Linked DNA regions of Stegostoma tigrinum. The protein of the gene in region 2 interacts with the protein of the main gene of each other region in a pairwise test. Links are inferred from orthologs where the notes say so. Each region holds a gene or a part of one and is shown on either strand. Other genes may lie near its edges.

Evidence for each region.
Region 1: the proteins of plekha5 (region 2) and pdzd11 interact in binary tests that used the Homo sapiens proteins (3 or more experiments, as listed by UniProt). The two-hybrid records come from large-scale screens. The link is inferred for Stegostoma tigrinum from reciprocal best matches to the Homo sapiens genes PLEKHA5 and PDZD11.

Annotation. Positions count from the first base shown.
Region 1 is NC_081368.1:38,278,227-38,287,978, forward strand, and holds the start of pdzd11 (PDZ domain-containing protein 11), read right to left. Parts: upstream 4,546-9,752; 5' UTR 4,426-4,545; intron 1-4,425. UniProt on the Homo sapiens protein: Mediates docking of ADAM10 to zonula adherens by interacting with PLEKHA7 which is required for PLEKHA7 to interact with the ADAM10-binding protein TSPAN33.
Region 2 is NC_081378.1:44,334,956-44,345,225, reverse strand, and holds the start of plekha5 (pleckstrin homology domain-containing family A member 5), read right to left. Parts: upstream 3,878-10,270; coding exon 3,792-3,877; exon of another isoform or gene 3,687-3,791; coding exon 3,610-3,686; exon of another isoform or gene 3,481-3,609; intron 1,145-3,480; exon of another isoform or gene 731-1,144; intron 405-730; coding exon 347-404; intron 1-346.

The DNA.
Region 1 (9,752 bases), on a different chromosome or scaffold from region 2:
ACAGTGTAAAATTTGACATACCAAAGGAGTGCAAAATATCCCTAGCCACATTATCGCAAAATTATCTGTACATATTTTGAGGTGTAGCGCCAGAATGAGCAACTCAAGTGCATTTACTATTGTCCAACTAGTATTCTTACTGATTTGATTCTATTTGATCCTTTGAACAATTGTAAATCAATAATATTCAAAATAGAAGTGCAAAGAAATTAGACTTCCTTCAACTTGGGTGTAATTAGGCACCTTATGGTTTATCCAGAAAGCTGGGCTGGGTTGAGCTAAGCTTATAATTCCCACTGACACAGTACCTTGAGCTTTATTAATACGGACAGAGCAAAAGAGCAAGGAGGTTATGCTGAACTTGCATAAACCAAATGTTAGACCTCAACTAGACTATCATGTACTGTTCTGAGCTGTAGTAAAGATTTGAATGCATTGGAGAGTGCAGAAAACATTTATAACAATGGCTGAGGTATTTCAGTTACAAGGATAGTTTGGAGAAATTGTGGTGTTCTTCCTGGAGAGAACTTGAAAGTAAAGTTGCCACAATCATACCAGACTAAAGGGCTGTTCTCTCACCAGAAAGAGACAACTAGTGATTGTTTGATTTGAGGGCTGCCACGTCTCAGGCAAGTGGAGAGGCTAAGAAGGAGGCTTCCATCGTAACCTGGTGGACGAATTGAACCCCATGTGATCTGTATCACTCTGCATTACAAACCAGCCATGCAACCATTTGAACAAAATCGATACCTAACGACAAATGCCCATCCAAATTCTGCTCAATTTTCCATTTCCTTGTTTGAGCACTTAGTATGCCAAGTGAATTTCATAACCCTACTTTATTTCCTTTCTGCTTGTCTGGGCAAACAGTTATGGTTTGATATTGAGGTTACCAATCAATTCAATGACTTCAGGTAGTGCATCATGAATACCTGTGAGGCCACTAGGAATGATCTCGCAAGGAAGGTGTTCAGTGTGTGCACAATAGTCTGATTTGGATGTCCATAGTTGAGCTTTTCCCTTGTTTCATTTGTGCTGTAGGTGGCCATATTTTCTCTGGACCATTCTCAAACAGTTGAAGTTTATTCAAATTTTCTTTGAAAATTGATACCTGAGACTTCACTTGTGATGTGATTGAAGACAGGAATAGTTTTTAGTGAGTTATCTTGTGCCAATGACAGTGCAGGGCACAGGTAGACTACTGAAACTCCCCAAAACCTTACAGCTACTTCCATCCTCCTGGCATCTCTTGGGGCAGCATGATGGCTCACTGATTAGCACTGCTGCCTCACACCACCAGGGGCCTGGCTTCAATTTCACCCTTGGGCGACTGCCTGTATGCAGTGTGCATGTTCGCCATGTATGCATGGGCTTCCTCCCACAATCTAAATATGTACAAGTTAGGAGAATTGCCCAGGCTAAATTGCTCCAAAGCATACAGGCCAAGTGAATTGGCCATGGGAAACGCCGGGTTACCAGGTTGGGGGCCTGGGTAGGATCCTCCTCTTCGGAGAGTTGGTGTAGATCTGATAGGCGAATAGCCTGCTTCCACATTATAGGGATTCTAACTAATCACCTACCTGATCAGGCAGTTCCATGTGAAACTTCGAATCAAATCAGCTTCCCACACATAACTGCACATGCTCCCACAAGGATCAGTCCTCAAATCAGCTCTCTTCAACATATACCAATGACCTCCATCCCACAAAAGTCACACCTGGACTATCTCTAGCAACTCCCTCACCTTCCTGGACATGTCTGTCTCCAGCTCGAGCAACTACCAAGAAACCAATATCCATTTCAAGCCCACCGACTCCCACATCCACCTAGAATACACCTCCTCCCACCCACCTTCCTGCAAAAATGCCATCCGCTATTCCCAATCCTTCGCTTCTGCCGCATCTGCTCCCAGGATGAGGCATTCCACTCCCGCACATCTCAGATGTCCTCATTTTTCAAGGACTGCAACTTCCCACCCGCAGTGTTCGAGAATGCCCTCAACCATGTCTCCCGCATTTCCCACAACTGATCCCTCACACCCCGTCCCCGCAATAACAATCTAAAAAAGAATCCCCCTCGTCCTCACATACCACCCCACCAACGTCGGGATCTAACACATCATCCTCCGACATTTCCGCCATCTGCAATCTGACCCCACCACCAAAGACATTTTTCCCTCCCCACCCTTGTCTGCTTTCCGAAGGGACCACTTTCTCAGGTGACTCCCTTGTCCGCTCCACACTCCCCTCCAGCCCTACCACACTCAGCATTTTTCCCTGCAACCGCAGGAAGTGCTACACCTGCTCCCACACCTCCTTCCTCACACCCATCTCAGACCCCAAGAAGACCTTCCACATCAAGCAGATGTTCACCTGCACATCTGCTTACGTGGTATACTGCATCTGCTGTACCCGTTATGGCCTCCTCTACATCGGGGAAACCAAGCGGATGCTTGGGGACTGCTTTGCAGAACACCTACGCTCGGTTCGCAATAAACAACTGTACATCCCAGTTGCGAACCATTTCAACTCCCCCTCCCATTCCTCCGATGACATGTCCATCCTGGGCCTCCTGCAGTGCCACAACGATGCCACCCGAAGGTTGCAGGAACAGCAACTCATATTCCACTTGGGAGCCCTGCAGCCCAATGGTATCAATGTGGATTTCACAAGCTTCAAAATCTCTCCTCCCCCTACCACATCCCAAAACCAGCCCAGCTCGTCCCCACCTCCCTAACCTGTTCTTCCTCTCACCCATCCCCTTCTCCCCCTCAAGCTGCACCCCCATTTCCTACCTACTAACCTATCTCCTCCCTACCTCCCCACCTACACTCACCTTTACTGGCTCCATCCTCACCTGTTTGACTTGTGTCTCCTCTCCACCTATCTTCTCCTCACTCCATCTTCAATCTGCCTCCCCCCTCTCTTCCTATTTATTTCAGAACCCTCTTCCCCTCCCTCATTTCTGATGAAGGGTCTAGGCCCAAAACATCAGCTTTCCTGCTCCTAAGCTGCTGCTTGTCCTGCTGTGTTCATCCAGCTCTACAACTTGTTATCTCACAGTCTTTCACATTTTTGATCTGAGTTTTCCATGCTAAAGAAACTCCAGGATGTTGAGAAAACAATCTGAAGATTAATGTTTGTTGGAAGACTCAGAAAATAAAATATCCAGGATTCTAAAGGAACTTGACAGGGTAAATGCTGAGAGGATACTGTCCTCCATGGGAGAGATGGGACCAAAGTGCATTGTCTCAGAATAAAGGAACATCAATTAAGACTGGGATGAGGAGGAACTTTTTTCACTCAGAGGACTGTGTGTCTTTGGATATCCTTGCCACAGAGAGCTGTGGGGGCATTGTCCTAACATGTGTTTTAAGACTAAGATCTTGATCAGTAGGGAAATCAAGCACTTAGAGAAAACACAGGAACATGGACGTGATGAATGTTAGAGCAGCCATAATCCTATTGAATGGTGCAGTAGGCTAGAGGTCAGTCTACTGTTCCTACTTCCTTTGTCGAGGAACCACAGGAGTTTCTTATGAAATTAATTGGCATTGTAATCCCTCCATCAATAGCAAAACGGTAAACAATAATGAATTAACACAAAAGAAAAGTACAGAAGCTGTAAATCTTAAACAGTAGAGTGTACATCAAATCCCTCTGTCCTGAGGGTCACCAGACTCAAAACATTAACTCTGACTTCTCTCCACAAATGCTGCCAGATCTGCCAAGCTTTTCCAGTAATTTCTGTTTTTGTTTCAGATTTACAGCAGCTGCAGTTCTTTCGATTTCTACTGTTATGCCTTTATTGTGCTCACCTACATTTACTATTTTTAGTCAGTTGCCTGGCCTTTTAATGTCACATCCTATTCTAAAATTAGCCAAAGTGAGCAAAGAATTACTTCTTCTCCTGCAAGCGCCACATTCCAGGTTCTTTAGTTGATGTTTCAGCAATTTGACGTTTAAAATATCTATTTCCTTTCTTCGAATTTATTGTACACATTCAATTTTCGTCAGCAGAAAACGTCCGAGGAGTAGCATAATCTGTCCCCTCTACAGCCGCAAGCGTTTCCACGATTTGTTTTTTAAAATAAAATCTGCGTAGAAATCCGGCTAGCACACAGGCCGCAGCCTGTTAAAGTGCAGCAATTTAAATTTACTTTAATGCCAGTTATCAGAAATACCGAGAGGGGTATGACCTATCTTCCAAGCTGAGTGGGGCTGGCCACATAAACATAGTAACGCCGCGGGTTTGTTTATAAAGCACTAAACAAGGCAAAGAGGCGGGAATCGAAAAGGAAATTTCCCGAAACGCAACTTTTTTCCGAATTTCTGGGAAACAAGGCCTGGAGCTCAGATCAACATCATTCCGGGCAGGAGGCTGACCACAGCCTGAAAAGGACCAGGACAGCCACGACAAACTAACCGTTACCTCGGGATACCCCCGCCACTCCGTGCAGGACCCGCAGTGACCCACAGCCGGCCGTTAATCACGTGACTACAATTTGACCTCGGCGGTGACGGTTTCACCAAAATACAGGGAATGGAGGCGGGGCCTGAGTGTGGGGGCGGGGCCTGGATCGACCGGCTTGTTGTGGACAATATTAGTCTTCCATCAATATTGTCAAGCTTTCCATTGACTGCCACTTCACACGGCACGTGGTCTCATGGCCACAGTTCTGTTTATCAGCACTATTGACAACACCTGCCATCATTTTACTGATCAGAGATAATGGGAACTGCAGATGCTGGAGATTCCAAGATAATAAAATGTGAGGCTGGATGAACACAGCAGGCCAAGCAGCATCTCAGGAGCACAAAAGCTGACGTTTCGGGCCTAGACCCTTCATCAGAGAGGGTCTGATGAAGGGTCTAGGCCCGAAACGTCAGCTTTTGTGCTCCTGAGATGCTGCTTGGCCTGCTGTGTTCATCCAGCCTCACATTTTATTATCATTTTACTGATAACTGAATTAGCTTTATTGTCACAACTACTTAAATGAGTAGTGAAAAGTTTATAGTCGCTGCCTCGCAGCACCATCTTTAGTACAGATAGTTAAGATGAAACGCAGAGGAAACAAAAAAAGTAAAAACGAATAGTCTAGCATTATTTCTTTTCTTAATTTTTTTCTTCCTTCTACTCAGAGGAAAAAATTAAGAATATATCAGTCTTTCCAACCCTGTACCTGTCAGGGAGATCACTTCCTTCGTCACAACCTGTGCCAGACCCAGCACCAGCACCCTAGGAGTTACCCCACTTTAGACACCATATCTTTGTCACTGGGCCTACTTAACCCACATTCACGCTGCAACCATGACCACCTTGCACCATTGTCAGGCTACAAGTCCCACTTTACCTGATGTCACATTTCAAGATGGCACACTAGCAGGGTCACTGCTGCTAGCATCTCTCTCTCTCTCTCTCTCTCACACACACACACACACGGATTTGCTGCCGTAGGCCCTGAATGCTGACAGAAGTGACTCACTGCCCCTGGCCTTCTGTTACAAGGGAATATCCTTGCTGTCTCTGAGCACCTGGGAGAATGTTCTCAATGTCACCAACTATTGCCAGAAGTCACATCCACTACTTCACATGTACCTTGTTATGCTTCCCCCACCCCCCACCATGGCACATTGGTTGGCAGCACTGGTATGGTAGCAAAAGAAAAGAGTGGAAACAAAAACAAGACAAAGAAAGAAAGTGGCTTCAGACAAGAGATCACATAGAACATAGAACAGTACAGCACAGAACAGGCCCTTCAGCCCACAATGTTGTGCCAACCATTGATCCTCATGTATGCACCCTCAAATTTCTGTGACCATATACATGTCCAGCAGTCTCTTAAATGACCCCAATGACCTTGCTTCCACAACTGCTGCCGGCAACGCATTCCATGCTCTCACAACTCTCTGCGTAAAGAACCTGCCTCTGACATCCCCTCTATACTTTCCACCAACCAGCTTAAAACTATGACCCCTCGTGCTAGCCATTTCTGCCCTGGGAAATAGTCTCTGGCTATCAACTCTATCTATGCCTCTCATTATCTTGTATACCTCAATTAGGTCCCCTCTCCTCCTCCTTTTCTCCAATGAAAAGAGACCGAGCTCAGTCAACCTCTCTTCATAAGATAAGCCCTCCAGTCCAGGCAGCATCCTGGTAAACCTCCTCTGAACCCTCTCCAAAGCATCCACATCTTTCCTATAATAGTGTAGCCCTGTTCTCTGCCTCCACTTTGAACCAGATTGAGGGTAGACTAACAGAGCAGTTATTGTGGATGTGAGTTTGCGCGCTGAGCTGGAAGGTTCGTTTTCAGACATTTCGTCACTTTTTTTTAAATTTAAAAAAATATACTTTATTCATAGAATGTACAAAAAAAAACATTTATACACCTACCCAGTCATGCAAGCCACTCCGGGTTACCCGGGGGTACGTACACCAACTAAAAGGAAAAAACAAAACAGAGGAAACAAAAAACAAAGCAAAGAAACCACCCTGGCAGTCGTCACCCCGCACAGTCCCAGTTGGCCCCCTGACCAGTTGGAGAAGGCGCCAGCTAGGCCCAGTTACAAGATAGGGTTCTTTTTCCTATTCTGGACGAGGGGTTTCATACCGTGGTCTTTCCCCACCGCACCTTGGCGGCGGCTGCCCCAAGCTTTAGCACGCCCCTCAGCACGAAGTCCTGGACCTTGGAGTGCGCCAGTCTGCAACACTCGGTCAGGGTCAGTTCTTTCAGCTGGCAGACCAGTAAGTTGCGGGCAGACCAAAGAGCGTCTTTCACCGCATTGATGGTCCTCCAGGCGCAGTTGATGTTGGTCTCGGTGTGCGTCCCCGGAAACAGCCCTAAAAAGCACGGAGTCCCGCGTCACGGAGCTGCTCGGGACGAACCTCGACAAATACCACTGCATCCCCCTCCAGACCTCCTGCGCATAGGCACACTCCAGAAGGAGGTGATCGACAGTCTCGTCCCCCCCGCAGCCACCTCGAGGGCAGCGTGCGGTGGTGCAGAGATTCCGGGCATGCATAAAGGATCTCACTGGCAGAGCCCCTCTCACCGCCAGCCGAGCAATGTCCTTGTGCTTGTTTGAAAGTTCTGGCGATGAGGCATTCTGCCAAACGACTTTAGCAGTCTGCGTGGGGAACCACACGACGGGATCCACCCTCTCCTTTTCCCGAAGGGTCCCGAGGATACGACGTGCTGACCACTGCCTGACGGCCTTGCGGTCAAAGGTGTTTCCTTTCAAAAATTTCTCCATGAAGGACAGGTGGTACGGAACGGTCCAACTACTCAGAGCGTTCCGCGGCAACGAGGCCAGGCCCATCCTTCGCAACACTGGGGACAGGTAGAACCTCAGTAAGTAGTGACACTTGGTGTTTGCGTACTGAGGATCTACGCACAGCTTGATGCAGCCGCACACAAAGGTAGCCGTCAGGGCGAGGGTGGCGTTCGGTACGCCCTTTCCCCCATTTCCCAGGTCTTTGTACATGGTGTCCCTGTGGACCCGGTCCATCCTCGACCCCCAAATGAAGTGGAAGATGGCCCGGGTGACTGCAGCGGCGCAGGTCCAGGGAATAGGCCAGGCCTGCGCCACATACAACAGTACCGAAAGCCCCTCGCACCTGACAACCAGGTTCTTACCCGCGATGGAGGGGGACCGGAGCGTCCACCTGCCCAGCTTCTGCTTCAATTTGGTGATACGCTCCTCCCAAGTCTTAGTGCACGCCCCAGCTCCACCAAACCAAACACCCAGCACCTTCAGGTAGTCTGTCCTGACGGTGAAGGGGATGAAGGAGCGGTCGTCCCAGTTCCCAAAGAACATGACCTTGCTCTTACCCCTATTGACTTTGGCACCCGAGGCCAGTTCAAACTGGCCGCAGATGTCCAGTCTACTCACTGACCGACAATCGGTGCAGAAGACGGCGACATCGTCCATGTACAGGGAGGTCTTGACCTGAAGGCCTCCGCTGCCTGGGATAGTCACGCCCTTCAGGCTCACGTCTTTCCTGATGGAGGCGGCGAAGGGCTCCACACAGCACACGAACAAGGCAGGAGAGAGCGGGCAGCCCTGCCTGACTCCAGATCTAACAGGAAAACTGTCTGATTCCCACCCGTTGATCGAGACTGCGCTAACGATGTTGGCGTAGAGCAGCCGGATCCAATTGCGGATGCCCTCCCGAACCCCAATTTGGAGAGGACGTCCCTCATGTAAGCATGAGAGACCCTGTCGAAGGCCTTCTCCTGGTCCAGGCTGACGAGGCAGGTGTCCACCCGCCTGTCCTGTACGTAGGCGATCGTATCCCTGATGAGCGCGAGGCTCTCAGCAATCTTCCTGCCTGGCACAGCACAGGTTTGGTCAGGGTGAATCACTGACTCTAGGACAGACCTGACCCGGTTGGCTATGACCTTGGCCAGGATTTTGTAGTCCACGTTCAATAATGAAATGGGACGCCAATTCTTAATTTCTTCCCTCTCCCCCTTCCTCGTGTAAATGAGGGTGATGATGCCCTTCCTCATGGACTTGCACATTTCCCCTGCCCGAAGCGCGCTATCGTACACCTCCAGCAGGTCTTGGCCGACCAGGCCCCACAGAGCGGAATACAGCTCGACCGGTAAGCCATCGCTTCCGGGAGTCCTATTCCTCCCCAAGGACTTGAGGGCTCTGACCAGCTTGTCCAGGGATATCGACCGGTCCAGCCACTCCCTCGTGCCGTCGTCCAAGACCTCCGTGATAGACGACAGGAACGACTCGGAGGCCGTGCTGTCCGTGGGCTTCGTGTCGTACAGTCCGGCATAGAAGGATCTGCTGATCCTCAAAATGTCGGGCTGCGACGACGTCACCGAGCCGTCATCCTCCTTCAGCCGGCTAAGCACAGAGCTCTCTTTGTGCACCTTCTGAAAGAAGAAACGCAAGCATGTCTTGTCCTGCTCCACGGAGCGGTCCCTGGACCGGAAGATTATCCTGGAGGCCTCCGCGGCGAAGAGCGAGGCTTGCTGGCCCCTCACCTCGCGGAGGTCCTCCGTGACATCGACCCCCATCAACTGCAGAAGGAGCAGGTTCTGCACCCTTTTCTGGAGTTGCGACAGCTTTCCCCGCCTCTCTCTTGCCTTCTGAACACCCTTGAGGGCAAAGAACCTCTTGATGTTCTCCTTCACCGTCTCCCACCAGTCGCCTGGACACTCAGAGGGATTTCACGGTTCTCCAACCGGCGTACTCCCTCTTAAGCTCCTCGACGTTCTCTGGGGTCAACAGAGTCGTGTTGAGCTTCCACGTCCCCTTGCCTGCCGGCTGGTCGTCCTGTAGGTGACAGTCGGCCAGCAGGAGGGAGTGGTCAGAGAAGAACACCGGCTCGACGCCGGTGGGCCTGACCGAGAATGTCCGTGACACAAACAGGAAGTCTATCCTTGAGCGGATAGACCCGTCTGGCCGCGACCAGGTGTACCTCTGCTGCGCTCTGTCTGCAGGGGTGCTGAAGACGTCGAGCAGCTTGGCGCCCTTCACCGTGCCCATCGGGAATCTGGACGTGATGTCCAGTTGACTCCCCCCACCCGCTGTCCCCACGCCGGATCTTCCATCTGCATCAATGATGCAGTTGAAGTCTCTGCCTAGGATGACCGGCCTGGGACGTAGCCAGCAGGGGTGGAAGCCGCTGCAGGACGGCCAACCGCTCACTCCGTACCGCTGGGGCGTACACATTGATCAGCCTCAGGGGAGCGTTCCTATAGGTGATGTCAGCCACTAGGAGGTGCCCCCCCA
Region 2 (10,270 bases):
ACCGCTAGTAAACAAACCACTAGAAACCTGGCTGAGAATAACGACTGGCTGCAAGTTTAAATTCCGTCTGACGTTTTAGCGTCAGTTTTGAATGAAAGCATTGTTGGAACCGATGTCGAAATCAAACTGATGCGACACGCCCACCTCACACCAAACGCATAATCCACGCTTTGCAACTTTTTTTAAAAATGGCACACTTCGTAAGAGTCGCAAACACAACCAACAAAACTCGTATCCAATTGGAAAGACCACACAAACGTACGTACAAGATGGTCTGAGCTATCAGAGATTGCATAAAGCCCGTCACAAAGTCAATGGATCATAAACCTATTCTTGCGTTACTCACTTAATGTAGTATCGAGCCCCTTCGAAGGTGTATCCTTCTTCCCAACCGGTTGGGAGGTCTGCCGTGCGGAAAACAAAGACGGAAAAACTTAAGAAGACCAAGTAGTGAACATATAGTCTGCCTCTCCCCAATCCTTCTCCAATGGCAATTAAGCGCTCGAGATGAGGGGGTTAAGAGAAATATGTGGACTCGGGGTGAGAGACAGACGTGGGGGACAGAGAGATGTGGGGGAAATAAAATGGGGGAAGAGAAGAAGCAGGTGTAATGAGCTGGAGGTGGGATGTCCAAGAAGTGACTGGCGGGGGGCGGGCGTTCTTGAAGACAGACAGACAGACAGATAGATAGAAAGGGAAGGGTCTAGGCCCGAAACGTCAGCTTTTGTACTCCTAAGCTGCTGCTTGGCCTGCTGTGTTCAGCCAGCTCCACACTTTGTTATCTCGGATTCTCCAGCATCTGCAGTTCCCATTATCGCAGATGGAGAGATGTGGTTGGAGGAGATGTGATTTGGGGATGGGAGGGTCAGGATGTGGTGGTGAAGACAGGGAAGTGGGAAAAAGGTAAGAATGGGGGATTGAAGGTCCGAGGTGAGCGGGGAGAGGGATTTGTGGGTGGGATGGGGTGAGAGGGCAGAGGGATGTGCTGATGGGGATGGGGGCAGGTGGCAAGGTTGAGAGAGATGTGTGGATAGGGGTTGGGATGGGACAGGACAGTTGGGGATGGGAGTCAGGGTTGTCGTGGGGGTTGGTGCAGGCTTTAAGTGAAGATGTGGGGATTGGGTTGGAGATGGGGATTGGGTTGGAGATGGGGATCGGGGGGGGGGGACGGAGATGGGGATCGGGGGGGGGGGACGGAGATGGGGATCGGGGGGGGGGGACGGAGATGGGGATCGGGGGGGGGGGACGGAGATGGGGATCGGGGGGGGGGGGACGGAGATGGGGATGGGGGGGGGACGGAGATGGGGATGGGGGGGGACGGAGATGGGGATCGGGGGGGGGGGACGGAGATGGGGATCGGGGGGGGGGACGGAGATGGGGATGGGGGGGGGGACGGAGATGGGGATCGGGGGGGGGGGACGGAGATGGGGATCGGGGGGGGACGGAGATGGGGATCGGGGGGGGGACGGAGATGGGGATCGGGGGGGGGAGATGGGGATCGGGGGGGGGGAAACGGTGCTGGGGATCGGGGGGGGGAAACGGTGCTGGGGATCGGGGGGGGGAAACGGTGCTAGGGATCGGGGGGGGAACGGTGCTAGGGATCGGGGGGGACGGTGCTAGGGATCGGGGGGGGGACGGTGCTAGGGATCGGGGGGGGGGGGAGTGGGGATATTGGGGGGAGAGAGTGGAGAAAGAGGGAGTGGGGGGGGGGGAAGGAAGGTGGGGATCCGGGGAGGGAGAGAGAGAGGAGGTGGGGATCCGGGGAGGGGGGGAGGGAGTGGGGGGGGGGGGAAGGAAGGTGGGGATCCGGGGAGGGAGAGAGAGAGGAGGTGGGGATCCGGGGAGGGGGGGAGGGAGGGAGAGAGAGAGAGAGAGAGAGAGAGAGAGAGAGAGAGGAGGTGGGGATCCGGGGAGGGAGGGAGAGAGAGAGAGAGAGAGAGAGAGAGAGAGAGAGGGGAGGTGGGGATCCGGGGAGGGAGAGAGAGAGAGAGAGAGAGAGAGAGGGGAGGTGGGGATCCGGGGAGGGAGGGAGAGAGAGGAGGTGGGGATCCGGGGAGGGAGGGAGAGAGAGGAGGTGGGGATCCGGGGAGGGAGGGAGAGAGAGGAGGTGGGGATCCGGGGAGGGAGGGAGAGAGAGGAGGTGGGGATCCGGGGAGGGAGGGAGAGAGAGGAGGTGGGGATCCGGGGAGGGAGAGAGAGAGAGGAGGTGGGGATCCGGGGAGGGAGAGAGAGAGAGGAGGTGGGGATCCGGGGAGGGAGGGAGAGAGAGGAGGTGGGGATCCGGGGAGGGAGGGAGAGAGAGGAGGTGGGGATCCGGGGAGGGAGGGAGAGAGAGGAGGTGGGGATCCGGGGAGGGAGAGAGAGAGAGAGAGAGAGGGGAGGTGGGGATCCGGGGAGGGAGGGAGGGAGGGAGAGAGAGAGAGAGGAGGTGGGGATCCGGGGAGGGAGGGAGGGAGGGAGAGAGAGGAGGTGGGGATCCGGGGAGAGAGAGGAGGTGGGGATCCGGGGAGGGAGGGAGGGAGAGAGAGAGAGAGAGAGAGAGAGGAGGTGGGGATCCGGGGAGGGAGGGAGGGAGAGAGAGAGAGAGAGAGAGGAGGTGGGGATCCGGGGAGGGAGGGAGGGAGGGAGAGAGGGAGAGAGAGAGAGGAGGTGGGGATCCGGGGAGGGAGGGAGAGAGAGAGAGGAGGTGGGGATCCGGGGAGGGAGGGAGGGAGGGAGGGAGGGAGAGAGAGAGAGAGGAGGGGATCCGGGGAGGGAGGGAGAGGAGAGGAGGTGGGGATCCGGGGAGGGAGGGAGGGAGGGAGAGAGAGGAGGTGGGGATCCGGGGAGGGAGGGAGGGAGAGAGAGAGAGGAGGTGGGGATCCGGGGAGGGAGAGAGAGAGAGGAGGTGGGGATCCGGGGAGGGAGAGAGAGAGAGAGAGGAGGTGGGGATCCGGGGAGGGAGGGAGAGAGAGGAGGTGGGGATCCGGGGAGGGAGGGAGAGAGAGGCGGTGGGGATCCGGGGGGAGGGAGGGAGAGAGAGAGAGACGGTGGGGATCCGGGGGGAGGGAGAGAGAGAGACGGTGGGGATCCGGGGGGAGGGAGAGAGAGAGACGGTGGGGATCCGGGGGGAGGGAGAGAGAGAGACGGTGGGGATCCGGGGGGAGGGAGAGAGAGAGACGGTGGGGATCCGGGGGGAGGGAGGGAGAGAGAGAGAGAGAGAGGCGGTGGGGATCCGGGGGGGGGGGGTGGGAGAGAGAGTGTGGAGGTGGGGATCCGGGGGGGGGAGGAGAGAGAGTGTGGAGGTGGGGATCCGGGGGGGGAGGGGGGGGAGGGGGGGGAGGTGGGGATCCGGGGGGGGAGGGGGGGGAGGGGGGGGAGGTGGGGATCCCGGGGGGGAAGCTGGGGATCCGCGGGGGGAAGCTGGGGATCCGGGGGGAGAGCTGGGGATCCGGGGGGTGTGGAGGCGGGTATCGGGCTCGGAGTGCGGATACGGTCGGGGTGAATGCGGTGCCGAGGATGGAGATGGGGGTCGGAGTGTGGGGAGATGTGTCCTCTCCAGCCCCGGTCCCGGAGGTTGAGTTCGGGGCGGGGGGGGCGGGGGTTCGGTTTGCCTCTCCACCTCCCCACCTGGTGTTTTGCGGTGTCCGCTGATGACGGCCTCGCCGGTCGCTGGATGTAACCAGGTTGTTCTGTGCGCTTCTTCACTGTGTGTATGTGAGAGAGAGAGAGAGAAGACACGGTGAGTGTAGTTATAAACTCAAATGTCAGCTTTCCGTATCCGCCAAAGCCCAGCTGCCTCCGGTACTCACTCGATGAAGAAGATCCGTCCGTCCCGGGTGACCCCATGCGACCAGAAACTCGGCAGCCGGAGCCACTCGGACCTGTAATCCGCCATGTCTGGAACAGGCAGGCGGGGGTTGGAGGCGGCGGTAAGAGGAGGTGATTCCTGCGCGCCCCCGACGTTGTTCGGGTGGGCCCCGCCCCCCGCGCGGAAACGCGCACACACCCCAACCGTCATCGCGCGCGCTCCTCTTCACAGGTGGGCTGCGCGCGCGCGAAGCTGTGGGCGGGGCGAGGACACCGGCCCACTAGCGCAGGCCAGTCACTGGGACTCACTCCTGGACGTGACGGCGAGGGACACACCCTATACAGGTCACAGCAGCCCATTCACAGCCAACTGTAGGAGAAATACTACAGGTAACACCGGAAGGGACGCTGCCTACATGTAATGCTCGCAAGGACACTCCCTGAAGGTAACGTTAGCAGAGACACTTCCTATAGATAACAGCCAGCAAGGACATTCCCTAAAAGTCACACCAGCCCATCCACAGCCAGTTGTAGTGAGAGACTCAACAGGCAATTCAAGCAGAGATGGTCCCTACATTAACAGCAGCCCAGTAATGTCCAACTGGGGAAAAGGATATCCCATATATGTAACGCCTGCCTTTACACAGCTACATTTTTTCCTAGGATGGTGACGGCGAGCACGAGGGGGCACAGCTTTAAATTGAGGGGTGTCAGATATAGGACAGATGTCAGAGGGAGTTTCTTTACCCAGAGTAGTAAGGGAATGGAACGCTTTGCCTGCAACGGTAGTAGATTCGCCAACTTTAGGTACATTTAAGTCGTCGTTGGATAAGCATATGGACGTACATGGAATAATGTAGGTTAGATGGGCTTGAGATCGGTATGACAGGTCGGCACAACATCGAGGGCCGAAGGGCCTGTACTGTGCTGTAATGTTCTATGTTCTACTGTAGGGAGGGAAGCCTGTGTAGATAACACTAGCCTATCTGCACTGAATTTTAGGAAGGAGCACTCCCTACTGGTAATGCCAGCCCATCCACGCCCACTGAAGGGATGACTTTATCAGGAAGAATTTTATGTAGATAATCTACCTATTATGAATGCAGCTGTTTTTGTGATTTCCTTTACTGGGTAATTCATACCCATTTTGGAAGGGCATGCGAATAAAGAATCATTATACTACATCCATAAGAGGAATCCCTGCAGCAACATGACCAGCAGGTGCCAACTGCTGTGCACGACCTTGAACAATTGTGCCTGTCTCCATGAACGAGGCGGGATGAGGTAGATGCAAGTTTCGGAGCTCACAATAAGTGCAGTGCGCTACAGAACTCTTCAGAACTAGGCAGATACTAGTCCATTCCCATAAGAAACCTGCAGCAATACACACCCAAGACACGTTGTTATAACTGACATAATTGTTGTACTTGCTGTTCCCTGGCTGGCCTGTAGGGAGCAATAAAGTTAGTGCAAAAAAAAGATTGAAAGCAAAAACTCCAACAACGTACTTTCCAGAAGTATGGTTAAAAATGGAACTTGACAACAGCTTCACTAAAGATAGTGTAAAATAAAGTGAATTGTGGTTGATACTGTTTGTTATGGGCAAAACTGTTGTGTTTGGCAAAGTAAACACTTGTTAATGGCCGTAAATTACCTACAGTCCATCGTACTTTCCTGTTTAGCATTAGGACACATAACTTGCAGATTAACCAAACTCGGATATGTGAAGTTAACCCCATCTCCTGTGGGTGTAAATATCAAACATATTAAATTATAAGGGTTAATTTGCCCCCAGGTAATAAGATTTGTTCTTTCTTTGCTCTTCCTTTACTTGTATTGCAATATCAGCTGAAAAATCTAGCCATTTATATCCAACTCTGTCAGAGAAGGTGTAACCTACTGGCAAATATGATGGTACCTGTGTAGATGTCACACACACATCTGGCACACATCTGAGGAATTCCCGAGGTCAGTCTACAACCTGATCTGTGACATCCAAGGACAATTTGCTGGTTGCTAACACATTTGTATAAAGACAGCCCTCAGTGCACCCAGTGCATTTTACAGTAAACCAGCACAAGAGAAATGTGCAACTAACCATTTACAATAGAGTAGTGGAATCGTAATGAAACATCACAGTAACTACATTATTGTTGAGTCAAGACTTCCCAATATGTTGTGCGGTGTGCAAATAGTACAGCCATGGAAAATTAGCAGGTTCATCATATTACCATTTGCAGTCAAATTATTATCTTTGTCGCAATAGCATTTCTTTAAAAGTAGGATTTTCATCACTAAAGACTTTAACAGAATCAAAATTTCTAGGTATGAAAAAACAACCTAAAGCTTCTTGGTACTGACTTACGATTAATTGGACCAATGGGTTCATGCAAGTGTTTATGCTGCACTTGTGCCTTCCCCAAATGTTTCCTCATCAAAATCTATTATTGTAAATCTCTATTCCCTAACCCTGATATGCTTGTCTCGGTTCTCTTGAAATGAATGCATATTTTTCACTTCATCTACACTTTGTGGTCTGAGTTCCACATTCTCACTACTCATTTCACAAAGAAGTTTCTTCTGAATTCCTATTGGATTTCTTGGTGACAATATTTTTGATGGCCTCTAAAAAATGAAAGATTCTGTCTGAATCCACTTTATAAAAACAGTTAATCAATCTAAAAACTTCTAAACTAAAAATGTTTCTTTCACAAGGGAGTGTCTCAACATTTCAACCCTTTCATGATTCGTATCTTCCTTGTAAAACTGCTGTTTGCCCTTTTAGTTTGTCGGTATCCTTTTTGTAATGTTGCAGCAAAATGCAAGTTTAGCATGCTTTCCCTATTCTTCAGTTCTGTCCCACTTAAGTAGCAGTTAGTGATTGGCTGTCCATGCACAAGGAACAGGTGAAGGACTGTAAATACAATTTTTTCAAGAGTCTGATCTAGTAATTTGTTTAATCATAGAACTTGGAAGAATATTGAAAAGTATTTTCTCCAGAGTTGCAAAGGCAGGTTTACAATCTGCCAATTATAACTTCAATGTCTATCATCAAATAAAATAGCTTGATAATTGTCAGTCTTGAGCTTTGACCGTCTTTGTTTAAGATTCAAGTTAGACAGCAACATTACAACTGTTTCTTCTGTGAGCCAATGTTTGTCCAGTGACATGCCCATTGGAATTGGACTGTGTAGGTATTTTGAAGGGTATTGACAGTGAACATTTTCTTTGTCTATAGCATCCACACAGATGTATTCTTTCAATTTACCTGACAACTATTTCTAAAACATTTCATGCAAACTCTAGTGAATCTTCATTAAAATAATAATTACTCAAATAATTGTCTTTAACAGAAGTCAGACTAGTGATTCTTCAAAGTACCCTTCTGGCTGCCATCAACTCAAAACAACTGATGTTTTTATGAAGGGTCTAGGCCCGAAACGTCAGCTTTTGTGCTCCTGAGATGCTGCTTGGCCTGCTGTGTTCATCCAGCCTCACATTTTATTATCTTGGAATCTCCAGCATCTGCGGTTCCCATTATCTCTGATGTTTTTACTCACCTCATAATGGCTACTATTCATCCTACTCCAGTGAGGTTTTTGGGCTAGCGTTTGAGCCAGTCGGTAATGCTGCTGTATTGTGCACAAAATTGTTTGCTACCATAAAATAAGATCTGTACATCAAAAATAATTTCTTTGTTTGTGAACTTCTATGAGCAAGTGACAAGGCTCAACATAGTTGCAAGTCCATTATTAAACTTGGAGACTGAGTACTTGCCTTAATATCAAGATTATCTTCAAATAAACAAATGGAGAAAAGATCTATCCGGGATGTTCATAGTCTCACTAACAAATGGTATTTCAGAGTTAAAATATATCGAGTAGGAAAATCCTGCATAATATAAAACAAAGCTGTTAATAGGCAATTTACAAACAGCAACTGGGTTGAATGACGAGTTCATGAGTTTCCAGTGCATTTGGCAAGAATGCAGCAAGACTGTCATGTGAACTAAAGTACCCAAATTTATTGAGAATCATTTTTTTTTAAAAAATGTTCATTCATTTCATTGATGAACTTTTTATAAATAATAATGTGCTGATTAATTAGTCATTTAATTAGAAACATAGCTGATTTGGTGGTGGTAAAAACAATGCAAAGTGCATAAAAGGATGATTGAAAGACGACCTTACACACAAACACAAAAATAAGAGACACTTGTTTGCTTTTCAATATCTACAGCAGTATACCAGCAACTTTTCTGAATAGTTAACTTTTCCAACCCTTCTGTAACAGTGCATCCAAATCTTGATTTGCTCAGCAGATTAAAGCTATGACATTCAATCAAGTTGTCATATATTTCAATGGGTTAACAATTTATTTCAATTGTTTTTCTCATTTAAACTTTCTACGCAGGAAAAGAAGGTTTGTAGGCTACAGGAAAGATTGGGGAGTTGGGCAAGCTAAACTGGCCTTGCAGAGAACTGGCATGGACTCAACAAGCCAAATGGTTTCTTTCTGTTCTGTAATCATCCTGTGTTCTCATTCATGATTCATTTTTAGCAGCTTGATTTTAACCATTGTGCATAGGCCATAACAAGACACTGCAGTGCAAGACAACAAGAATACTAACGCCTGTGATCATTTCAAAGAGCAAGTGAAAAATAATTTACTGCAATCACTTAGGCGTGCTACTTAATTATGCTAGCAATCAGTTTAGAGTGTTTTTTTATTGAAAATCAGTGCAATGAGCCAAGATCCATGCTGCAGGGCATCACAAAGATTGAAAACAGTAACAACATCTGTTTAAAAGTGACAAAATGATTAAAATAACAATTTCCACACTGAATAGTCAATTGGTACTTTTTTGCAGGATGTTATGAATTCTAAAATTTTCGTAAATAAATACTCCTTTGCTCAGAAGCTGATATACTATAGACTTCTGAATGTAACAGATCTCCGTCTGAGTGTCTGTTTTGTCTTATCAATGGTTCTGTTTTTGTTCATTTTCAATGCCTGTTTATAATCTTATGGTAAGATAATAATCAAAGTTTTTTTTGTATGCTAGTTCTGTTTTCACTCAAGATGTACGTTGTCACCTGATTTCCAGAATAACTTTCAATTTTCAATGCCTGTTCAAAGTGATTTGATATGCTGCGCTTCAAATTATAAATCGTGGGTAAGAACCTGTTTGATATTTCTGCAGACAAAATGGCAAGCAAAGAGATCTGCAAATGCTAAGCTTGAGGACAATATTCATTAGGAAGGCTACGATACAATACTAGAGTTAAACATTACAACAAAATGATTCTCAGCATGGAAAAGCCTGGGAGATTATCATGTGTTGAACTCCCTCAAATAGGTTATTCTGTGTATTATTAAATGCAATTGATTTATGGAGTATGATCTGTTGACTCAGAATTATCTTGTTTAAGCACTGCCTTTTGCTTGGTCTCTCTGGATTGAGGATGAATTGCTTTTCCTCTGTTCGATAGTTTTTAGGATGGTTGCTAAGTCCAAGGTGCAATCTGAAATCTCTGCTGCCCGTGGTCCTTGAAAATTTGGGTAGATGGGTTATTATCAGTGCTGTTGCACTGTCACTGATGCATCAGGTTTGCCCCTACATGCTCTTGACAAAGTCTATTAGTGTTTTCTGTACCCTACCAAATATGCCATATTTATTTCGGTTAGTCACGAAGCAGGTTCTGCCATGACTCAACAGTTATGTTTGTCTTTTTTCAGGGTGGTTTGAATGTGTCCCTCAAGTGTTTCTGCTAGTCTCCTTTGGCACCTCCTACTGCAACCACGTTCCAAGTAGAGCACTGTTTTGTGAGCCTGGCCTCATGCCTACAAACAGCATGCCCTGCCCAGTAGGTTTGAGCGATTAGTTGGCTTCGGGAGGACACTGCTGTTGGACATTGTACTGGATTCAGAAGATCTGCAATGGCATTGCTGGCACTACTTTTTAAATCTGACTGCTATACGTTTTCCACGTCTGTGCAGGTTATAGGAGCATGGCGATGCTGCTACCGTGACTTTAGTCTCAGATTATGCATCTTCATCCTCAAGTACTCTTTTCCTGCATCATCCAAAGGCTGAGCTGATACATTGGAGGCAATGATGAATTTTCTCATCCATATCTATCTTTATTGAGAGGGGTTCCCAAGATACAGAAAATGCTCCATATTTTCCAGAAGCGCACCATTGATCTGAAACAATGAGAGGAATTTTGCTGAAGTGGTTCGTTGGAAGAATTTCTTAGTTTTCCAGATCATTTTCTCATACACTTCAGAGAAGGAATCAATGATGACTTAGTGCTTAGCATCAGAGAAAGTGCACATATACTAATGTCATCTGCAATACGAAACTCTATGACTGAGATTGGAGTGGTTTTGGATTGATGATGGCACTGGTTGAATAGTTTCTCATCTGTTCTGTAGATTATTTCCACAACTGCTGATAATTTGCTGGCGATGAGGTGCAG